Linked DNA regions of Macaca fascicularis. The protein of the gene in region 1 purifies or fractionates together with the protein of each later gene. This does not show direct contact. Links are inferred from orthologs where the notes say so. Each region holds a gene or a part of one and is shown in the gene's direction. Other genes may lie near its edges.

Region 1 (4,443 bases):
GGCGGATCACGAGGTCAGGAGATCGAGACCATCCTGGGTAACACGGTGAAACCCTGTCTCTACTAAAAAACACACAAAAAATTAGCCGGGCGTGGCGGTGGGCGCCTGTAGTCCCAGCTACTCAGGAGACTGAGGCAGGAGAATGACGTAAACATGGGAGGCGGAGCTTGCAGTGATCCTAGATAGCACCACTGCACTCCAGCCTGGGCGACAGAGCGAGAAAAAAAAAGAAGAAGGAAGAAAGGAAGGTGAGGGTGAGCTGGAGGGCAGGCTGTCCGATCTTAGCACCCTGCTGCTTCCTAGGTTCTGAATGGTGCTGCTGTGGTGCGTCCCCCAGGACACCACGCGGAGCAGGATGCAGCTTGCGGTTTTTGCTTTTTCAACTCCGTGGCTGTGGCTGCTCGCCATGCCCAGGCTATCAGTGGGCGTGCCCTGCGGTAAGGACTCCCTGGGGACCCCCCAAATCCTGATCCTTGTGGGGACCTGGATGCTCTCCCCAGCCCATTGCTTACTCATCATGCCCCATGGTCCAGCTCCCCAGGACTTCCCCAGAAAGAAGTAAGGGTACAGCCCTTACCCAGAGAAGGACTGAGGATGGAGCCTCTCAGTGCCTATTTAGATAGGACCCCCAGATCATATTACCTGGGTGCTTATAAAACAGGATTCAGGGTCCCACCCCAGCATTTCTGGCCTATAGCAGCTGCCTCGACAGAACCCAGGTCCAGGCTCCTGATGCATACTCCAGAAGACCCAAGAACCAGTCCCCAGCATTAGCTGCCCAAGGCGCAGGGTCCAGTTCCCTAGCAATGACCCAGAAGAGCCCAGGGCCCAGCCCCGAGCACTTGCTCAGGCCTACAGGGCAGCCCTCGGGAACCAGGATCAGACTTTTCTCCTTAACTGATAGGACTAGGGTCCTGCCACTCAGCACTAAATGCCCCTACAGACCCCAGGGGTCTGGCCCAGCCCTCTTCCAGGGGGTGAGTATCCTAGGTTACTGAGGTGCTGTCTTCTCCCCAGGATCCTGATTGTGGATTGGGATGTCCACCATGGTAATGGAACTCAGCACATGTTTGAGGATGACCCCAGGTAAGGGGCTGCAATCAGGGGCCGCAGTGTGATCAGGGAGGTGGGTGAGCACCTCAGGGGTACTGGAGCCCCTAACCAGCCATGGCCCCCTTCCTACCCCCTCCCCGGCAGTGTGCTATATGTGTCCCTGCACCGCTATGATCATGGCACCTTCTTCCCCATGGGGGATGAGGGTGCCAGCAGCCAGATCGGCCGGGCTGCTGGCACAGGCTTCACCGTCAACGTGGCATGGAACGGGCCCCGCATGGGTGACGCTGACTACCTAGCTGCCTGGCATCGCCTGGTGCTTCCCATTGCCTACGAGGTACAGCTCAGGATAGATCGCAGGATGTATGTGACATGCCTGTGCAGGTGGCAGCCTGGACCTGCCTCCTCAGCATGTGTGCGTCTGACTGCCAGGTGGCTGATGATATGAGACAGCCCATGGGTGATTAATGAGGCTACCGGGGCAATTGGTGACTGTGATCACTTTGTGTATTTGCCTGTGCACAGGTGACTATATGACTGCCTTCTCTGTGTGACACTATGTGGGTGACTATCTTGGCTGTGTGTGTGAGGGCCTTCTGACTATGCAGCAGTGGCCCGTGTCCTGGCTGGATCTGTGTTGTGTGTGTGCCATCACAAGTGCTTGAGTATGTGTGTGTGCGACTCTGTGCAGGCATCACCTTTTCTCTGTGTGATGGGTGTGATATTGTATGTCACTAAATGCAACCATCTCTGTGACAGCCTGTGTGGGACCCTCTGGATGTGAAAGGCTGTGTGTTACAGCAGTCACTGTCTGGCTGTCTGCCCTGGCTATTTATGTGTGTGTCTCTGACTGGGAGGTAGCTGCCTTCCCTCTGTGTGAGCTGGGGGGCTAGTGGCTTGCGTATGGCTGACTCTGGGAGGGAGGGCGGGGGTGTGAGCACCACTCTGTCACCCTGGGCGCTGATGTGCATCTTTGGATCTGCACGTGCGCGGGTGGCCAGGACAGCCTTCTGTATGTGTACAACTGTATGTGCAAGTAACCAGCTCTTGTGGACACACCAGAGTGCATGTCACCATTGTTGCTGTGTGGTAATGGCATGTGTATGTGACTCTGCAGGGTGGCTGTGGGTTACTGTCCTCTTTGAGAAACTATGTGTGTGTGTGTGTGTGTGTGTGTGTGTGTACATGACTAGTGCAGATATGTAGTACTGGTCTATATGGGACTGTGTGTGGCAGTACTTGTGGCTCTGTGTGACTATCTTCTCTGTGTGTGGCACTTGCATTGCCATCTTCTGTTATGGAAGTGTGCAAACACCTCTCTTTGACACTATGTATATAAAACCCTATATGTTGTGTATGTGTGTCCCACATTTGACCCTGGGGTGTGTGTGTGTAAGGACATGTCTCTGTCTCTCTGTTTTTCATGTCACTCTCTTGACATCTGAGTCTGTCTCATGTCTCATGACTATGTCTCATGTCCCCATCTGTCCCTTTCTACTGTCTCCAGGTCTCTAAGTCTGCATCTGTTTCTTCTGAGTCTGTATTTCTTTTCTTCCCCTCTTCATTTTCAGTCTCTGCTTCTGCATCTCCCAGTCTGCAGATCCTGTGTCTCCATCTCTCTGACTGGCATCTCCATGTCTTCATTTGTCCTTTTCTCCATGTCTCTGGGTCGCCATCACTTACTATCTACCAAAAGCCCCCACCCTCATGCTTATACATCTCTTCTCTCCCTGCCTCAGTTTAACCCAGAACTGGTGCTGGTCTCAGCTGGCTTTGATGCTGCACGGGGGGACCCGCTGGGGGGCTGCCAGGTGTCACCTGAGGGTTATGCCCACCTCACCCACCTGCTGATGGGCCTTGCCAGTGGCCGCATTATCCTTATTCTAGAGGTAATTCTCTCTTGGTCCCTCTTCCCACAGTGGGAGGGTAGTTTGGAAATGTTGGCACCATCACTCAGGACAGTTTCCTGAAATCTCCTTTGAGTGTCCCTGCCTGGGATTGTTGGCACATACTGGGTAGTAATAAGAATAACAGCAACATTAACAGCCTTAATTGAGTGCTCACTATGTACAGAGCACTCTTCTGAGCACTTCATGTGTCTTATTCATTCAGTTACTTGGCAAGGCAGCCTTATGAGGTAGGGTCAGCTTACCTCATTTTCCTCTCTCAAGGTCAGGGAAACTGAGGCACAAAGAGGTGTGATGACTAGCCTGAGATGGCACATTTACTGATGGCAGAACCAGGACTTGAACCCATGCAGCCTGGCTCCAGGGTTTGTACTTTTTACTCTACCTAAACTGCCTCTAACAAGTTCCTGGGACAAAGGAAATTCACTGACCTTTGTAAATGGCCCAGTATCCCTATGCCCTGTGCCTCAGTTTCCTCATTTTTATGAGGCAGGCTAATCATGGAGGAATATCTGGCATATGGTAAATGCTGAATCTGTTGGATCTGGTTTTTTGTTCTTTTGTTTTTCTTTTTTTTTTTTTTTTTTTTTTGAGGCAGAGTCTCACTCTGTCACCCAGGCTGGACTGCAATGGCACGATCTCAGCTCACTGCAGCCTCCACCTCCTGGGTTCAAGTGATCCTCCTACCTCAGCCTCCTGAATCACTGGGATTACAGGCACCAGCCACCACGCTCGGCTAATTTTTGTAGTTTTAGTAGAGATGGGGTTTCACCATGTCTGCCAGGCTGGTCTTGAGCTCCTGGCCTCAAGAAATCCACCCACCTCAGCCTCCCAGAGTGCTGGAATTACAGGCGTGAGGCACCGCGCCTGGCCCCTGGTTACTGTTATGCATTGTTCAGATATTAATCGGCTCAGCAACCTTCTGTGCTCTTATTCTCTTTTCTTTTCTTTTCTTTTCATTTTTGTTTTTTGTTTTTTTTGAGACGTTGTCTTGCTCTGTTGCCCAGGCTAGAGTGCAGTAGCGCAATCTCGGCTCACTGGGTTCAAGCAGTTCTCTGCCTCAGCCTCCCAAGTAGCTGGGATTACAGGTGCCTGCCACCACACCCAGCTAATTTTTTTGTATTTTTAGTAGAGATGGGGTTTCACCATGTTGGCCAGGCTGGTCTTGAACCCCTGACCTTGTGATCTACCCGTGTCAGCCTCCCAAAGTGTTGGGATTACAGGCATGAGCGACCGTACCTGCCTCTTTTTTTTTCCTTTTGAGACAAAGTCTTGCTCTGTCACCCAGGCTGGAGAGCAATGGCACAATCTCAGCTCACTGCAGCCTCCATCTCCTGGGCTCAAGCAATTCTCATGCCTCAGCCTCCCGACTAGCTGGGACTACAGGCACATGCCACCATGCCTGGCTAATTTTTGTATTTTTAGTAGAGATGGGGTTTCACCATGTTGGCCAGGCTGGTCTCAAACTCCTAACCTCAGGTAA
Region 2 (4,981 bases), on another chromosome or scaffold:
CTAAAATTAGTATACCATCCCTCACTGCTAAAATTGACAGGCTTAATTTTTTTTTTTTTTTAAGAATAAGAAGAGGAACAAAATAAGTGAGAACAATATTCAAATATATTCCTGCCTCCTCTACCCAGTTGGAAAAATGTGTGCAAATTTGGATTTTGAATCAAATGCCTTTAACAAGACTACCAAAACTATCAGAAATAAACAAGAACCTCTTGGTCTGCAGGTCAGGTTCAGATGGGTGGAGACACACATATATAGACATACACATATATAACTCCTTACAACATACACTTATTAACCACATAAATTTGCTATTTGTCTGAAATTCGGTGCGAAGGATGAAGGCTGCACCAAATTTTAATAGGCTAATAACTGAATATGAACTATGAATTTTTAGTGTTTTAGGTTTAACCTTTTTGTTCCTCCTATACTGGGCAGATATTCTGAATAGTAACATCAATACGTTTCGGCTAGGACCATTTTAAAGCCACATTTTAAACCTAACCACCTTCTGCATTTCCAAGGATTAGCAATGTGGTTTATCGTCTTGAAATAGATTTTCCAGGGGCGGGGCGGAGGGAGACCTAGTCTACTCCTATAATGTGGGCCTCCAAGCACTAAGCTATAACCAATTGATGTATCTTGACACAAGGCCAAGCAGTCTTATTTACAAAACTCTTAAGTTGCACAAGGAATCTCTACTTCCTAACATCCTTCAGTGTCAATTTATTTCCTCCCTATCCAATTCTTTCCTCACTTCTTCAACTCAGCTACCACCACTGAAATGTGTTTTTAAATCTCCTTTTCAAAAAGCCCCTAGAACTGTTTCATAAAATTGATGGCTTAGATCTAAAATTGGGGCCTACTTTGCCCTTTTAACAGCTTCAATGTTAAATGCTTGGGCACTCTTCGAATGACTGAATATCTACTTGCTTTCAGCATTTGGTACTCTTACTTTGGAGAACAAGTCATTAAAGTAAACCATGTACACCTATTCGGTTTTCTAAAGCTCGCGTTTTTCACATTATCAGGTAAGTACAGAATGCACTGCCTTAAAAGGAACTGCGAAAATAAAAAGGCAAAACTCACTGACAAACTGTGGCAACACGAAATTAATCAGCTGAGCTATCCGAACCACAACTTTCTGCATTTCACGGTGCTTCGTCTTTCAAATTGTATGGCTCTCTCAAGTCCTAGGCTTCCTCCGAATTAAGTCAAGCCTCGTCACCCATTCCCTGGTCGGTGTCTTTCCGACTCGCGCCCGCCCCTCGCCAGGCCCTCGCAGCCATGCGCCGCACACTGCAGCACTGGCGCGCGCGGCCCGCAGGCGCGGAGGACCCCGCCCCGCGGCCGCGCGAAGGGAGGGGGCTCGGGGCCCGGAGCCCGCCTCTGCGGCGGCCAGGCCGGGCGCCCAGTGGGCGCACTGGGCCGGAGGAGGGGCCCGCGGCCGCGACACCGCCTGTGCCCGCCCCCTCTCCAAAGCCGCTACTTAAGAGGCTCCAGCGCCGGTCCCGCCCCAGTGCGTTACTTACCTCGACTCTTAGCTTGTCGGGGACGGTAACCGGGACCCGGTGTCTGCTCCTTCCGCCTTCGCCTCCTAATCCCTAGCCACTATGGTGAGTGAGCCGCGCGGCTCCCGGCTGCTTTCAGGGAAGCAGGGAAAAGCGAGCTGGCGGGGCGCGGGGACCCTGTATACAGCCGGGGAGGTCTGGTTCCAGAGCCGTCCTTTTGGAGGGCGGAAAACAAGGCGAGAGGCCAGGGCGGGAGTGGTGAGACCTCGGTGTGTGTAAATAGCTGGGGCCCGGAAAGGTCGAGGGGCGCCAGGATTTCTTATCGGACTCTGGAAGGGATGAGGGGGCTCCGGCTGCCTTCTGCCGTATCCGGAGCTCTCTTTCAGCGCGTAACTCTGTACTGGGAGCGGTCCCTCGAGTCCCCGCAGTCCTTTCCAGCGTATGCCCTTCCCCCGCTTTGGGTGGACGCGCGCGCGCGCGGACTCTAACATCTTCCAGCCTTCACTTCCTCTTGAGCGCGAAAAGCGGGGGTGGGAAGCAGCTGGAGACAAAAGCGCGCACGCGCGACCGTTACCTTCACGCCGTTCCTGGGCGGGAAACCGCCACTGCAGTCTGCGCATGCGCTCTGGGTCGCGGCGAGACTAGGGCTACAGGGCGTGTCTCCTGTTAACCTGAGTTTTCTTTTTTTAATGAAAGCAATAAGAGGAATGTGGGGAAGGGCCCTGTCAATGTACCGCTATACACCAGTGAATTAGGACAGTTCGACCACAACAGTCTGTAGAGGCCACCTGTCTCTCTGCTGCGTTAGGAATTCAGGGGAGCAGGTGGTGGCAGTGAGGGATTTTGAGGGAACGGAAATCGGATCTTGACCCAGATCTGGGCCGCCGATAATCCCCAACTTCGCTCAGACTGCTGTGGAGGTGTTAGGCCCAGCCCGATGCCGGCGGGCAAGGGAGGATGGGCGGCCTGGGCAGCGCCTTTGCAGACGTGGCCATTTCGTGCCTCTGCAGCGCCGCCGGGGGGCGCGAGAGCGCGCGCCCTGAATTGCGCATTCATCCTGTGCCGCAGAGCCCCGCCCCATGTCCCTGCGGACCGACATTTCTTGTGCGCTGGTCTGGCCACGTGCTTCCTGTGCTAGGAGCTGCCCGGAAATGTGGCCACCTAGTCTAAAGTGGTATTCTGGGGCCTGAGCGCTGGGTGGATGCCTACCTTCCTGTCTTGGTCCTCCAAAGGAGGAAGCTGTGACTGAGCTGTATTGGTCTGGAAGGAGGCCTTCCCAGTTTAGGATGGGAAGGTAACAGTCATTAAAAGCAATGTAGACGATAAGCTGTTCTCAGAAGAGTAGTACGTCTTACGTCGCTTTAAAAAAGGAAATTTGTTTTAAGATTACGTGAGTAGCCTAGGTAACACAGCCAGACCTCATCTCCACAAAAAAAGATGAAAAAATTAGCCAGGCGTAGTGGCCTGTGCCTGTGGTCCCAGCTGCTCCAGACGCTGGGGTCGGGGGATGACTCAAGCCCAGGAGGTTTAGGCTGCCTTGAGCCTAGACGGCATCACTGCACTCAAGCCTGGGTGACAGACTTTATCTCTAAAAAAATAAAGATTGCATGAGTATTTTGTTCCACCTGACAGCCACCAATAGATTAAATTGCGATATCTTTTTCCTTCCCACAGCGTGAGTGCATCTCCATCCACGTTGGCCAGGCTGGTGTCCAGATTGGCAATGCCTGCTGGGAGCTCTACTGCCTGGAACACGGCATCCAGCCCGATGGTCAGATGCCAAGTGACAAGACCATTGGGGGAGGAGATGATTCCTTCAACACCTTCTTCAGTGAGACGGGCGCTGGCAAGCATGTGCCCCGGGCCGTGTTTGTAGACTTGGAACCCACGGTCATTGGTGAGTTGACTTCAGTAACCCAAGTGAGATCCCAGGATGCTGGGACAGGAGGTCTGTCCTGGGGGCTCCGCTGGTCACTCACCCACTCCCTCCATCCTTCTCTCCCTCCTCCCCCAGATGAAGTTCGCACTGGCACCTACCGCCAGCTCTTCCACCCTGAGCAGCTCATCACAGGCAAGGAAGATGCTGCCAATAACTATGCCCGAGGGCACTACACCATTGGCAAGGAGATCATTGACCTTGTGTTGGACCGAATTCGCAAGCTGGTAAGCACAATATATAAATATGCATTTAATGCGGCGAGATGGTACCAGTGCAAGTTGGGTGGAGTGACTGACAACATTCATTCTTTAGCACCTACCAAAATGTGGAATAGACTGCTTACTATGTTCATTGGACTTCTAAATCAGATAGTCCCCTAGGTTATGGACAGTTTGTGGATATGTTTGTTTTCCCATTTCCTTATGCTTATGTCAATGAGATGGTTCATAATCTAAGAATTTTAAATAGAAATTCTAAGAGAATGTTTCTTGGCATTAAAATATTATTTTTTTTATTTCCCTACAGGCTGACCAGTGCACCGGTCTTCAGGGCTTCTTGGTTTTCCACAGCTTTGGTGGGGGAACTGGTTCTGGGTTCACCTCCCTGCTCATGGAACGTCTCTCAGTTGATTATGGCAAGAAGTCCAAGCTGGAGTTCTCCATTTACCCAGCGCCCCAGGTTTCCACAGCTGTAGTTGAGCCCTACAACTCCATCCTCACCACCCACACCACCCTGGAGCACTCTGATTGTGCCTTCATGGTAGACAATGAGGCCATCTATGACATCTGTCGTAGAAACCTTGATATTGAGCGCCCAACCTACACTAACCTTAACCGCCTTATTAGCCAGATTGTGTCCTCCATCACTGCTTCCCTGAGATTTGATGGAGCCCTGAATGTTGACCTGACAGAATTCCAGACCAACCTGGTGCCCTACCCCCGCATCCACTTCCCTCTGGCCACATACGCCCCTGTCATCTCTGCTGAGAAAGCCTACCATGAACAGCTTTCTGTAGCAGAGATCACCAATGCTTGCTTTGAGCCAGCCAACCAGATGGTGAAATGTGACCCTCGCCATGGTAAATACATGGCTTGCTGCCTGTTGTACCGTGGTGATGTGGTTCCCAAAGATGTCAATGCTGCCATTGCCACCATCAAGACCAAGCGCAGCATCCAGTTTGTGGATTGGTGCCCCACTGGCTTCAAGGTTGGCATCAACTACCAGCCTCCCACTGTGGTGCCTGGTGGAGACCTGGCCAAGGTTCAGAGAGCTGTGTGCATGCTGAGCAACACCACAGCCATTGCTGAGGCCTGGGCTCGCCTGGACCACAAGTTTGACTTGATGTATGCCAAGCGTGCCTTTGTTCACTGGTATGTGGGTGAGGGGATGGAGGAAGGCGAGTTTTCAGAGGCCCGTGAAGACATGGCTGCCCTTGAGAAGGATTATGAGGAGGTTGGTGTGGATTCTGTTGAAGGAGAGGGTGAGGAAGAAGGAGAGGAATACTAATTATCCATTCCTTTTGGCACTGCAG

What was found. Proteins that work in one complex are often made in the same cells at the same time.
Region 2: the proteins of HDAC6 (region 1) and TUBA1B purify together in Homo sapiens (affinity purification with western blotting; 4 studies listed by BioGRID, with this or other methods). This does not show direct contact. The link is inferred for Macaca fascicularis from reciprocal best matches to the Homo sapiens genes HDAC6 and TUBA1B.

What each region holds. Positions count from the first base shown.
Region 1 is NC_088395.1:48,977,298-48,981,740, forward strand, and holds part of HDAC6 (protein deacetylase HDAC6), read left to right. Parts: intron 1-303; coding exon 304-437; intron 438-1,017; coding exon 1,018-1,086; intron 1,087-1,197; coding exon 1,198-1,390; intron 1,391-2,792; coding exon 2,793-2,942; intron 2,943-4,443.
Region 2 is NC_088385.1:55,942,759-55,947,739, reverse strand, and holds the start of TUBA1B (tubulin alpha-1B chain), read left to right. Parts: upstream 1-1,518; 5' UTR 1,519-1,613; coding exon 1,614-1,616; exon of another isoform or gene 1,617-2,037; intron 2,038-3,185; coding exon 3,186-3,408; intron 3,409-3,525; coding exon 3,526-3,674; intron 3,675-3,975; coding exon 3,976-4,956; 3' UTR 4,957-4,981. UniProt on the Homo sapiens protein: Tubulin is the major constituent of microtubules, protein filaments consisting of alpha- and beta-tubulin heterodimers. Microtubules grow by the addition of GTP-tubulin dimers to the microtubule end, where a stabilizing cap forms.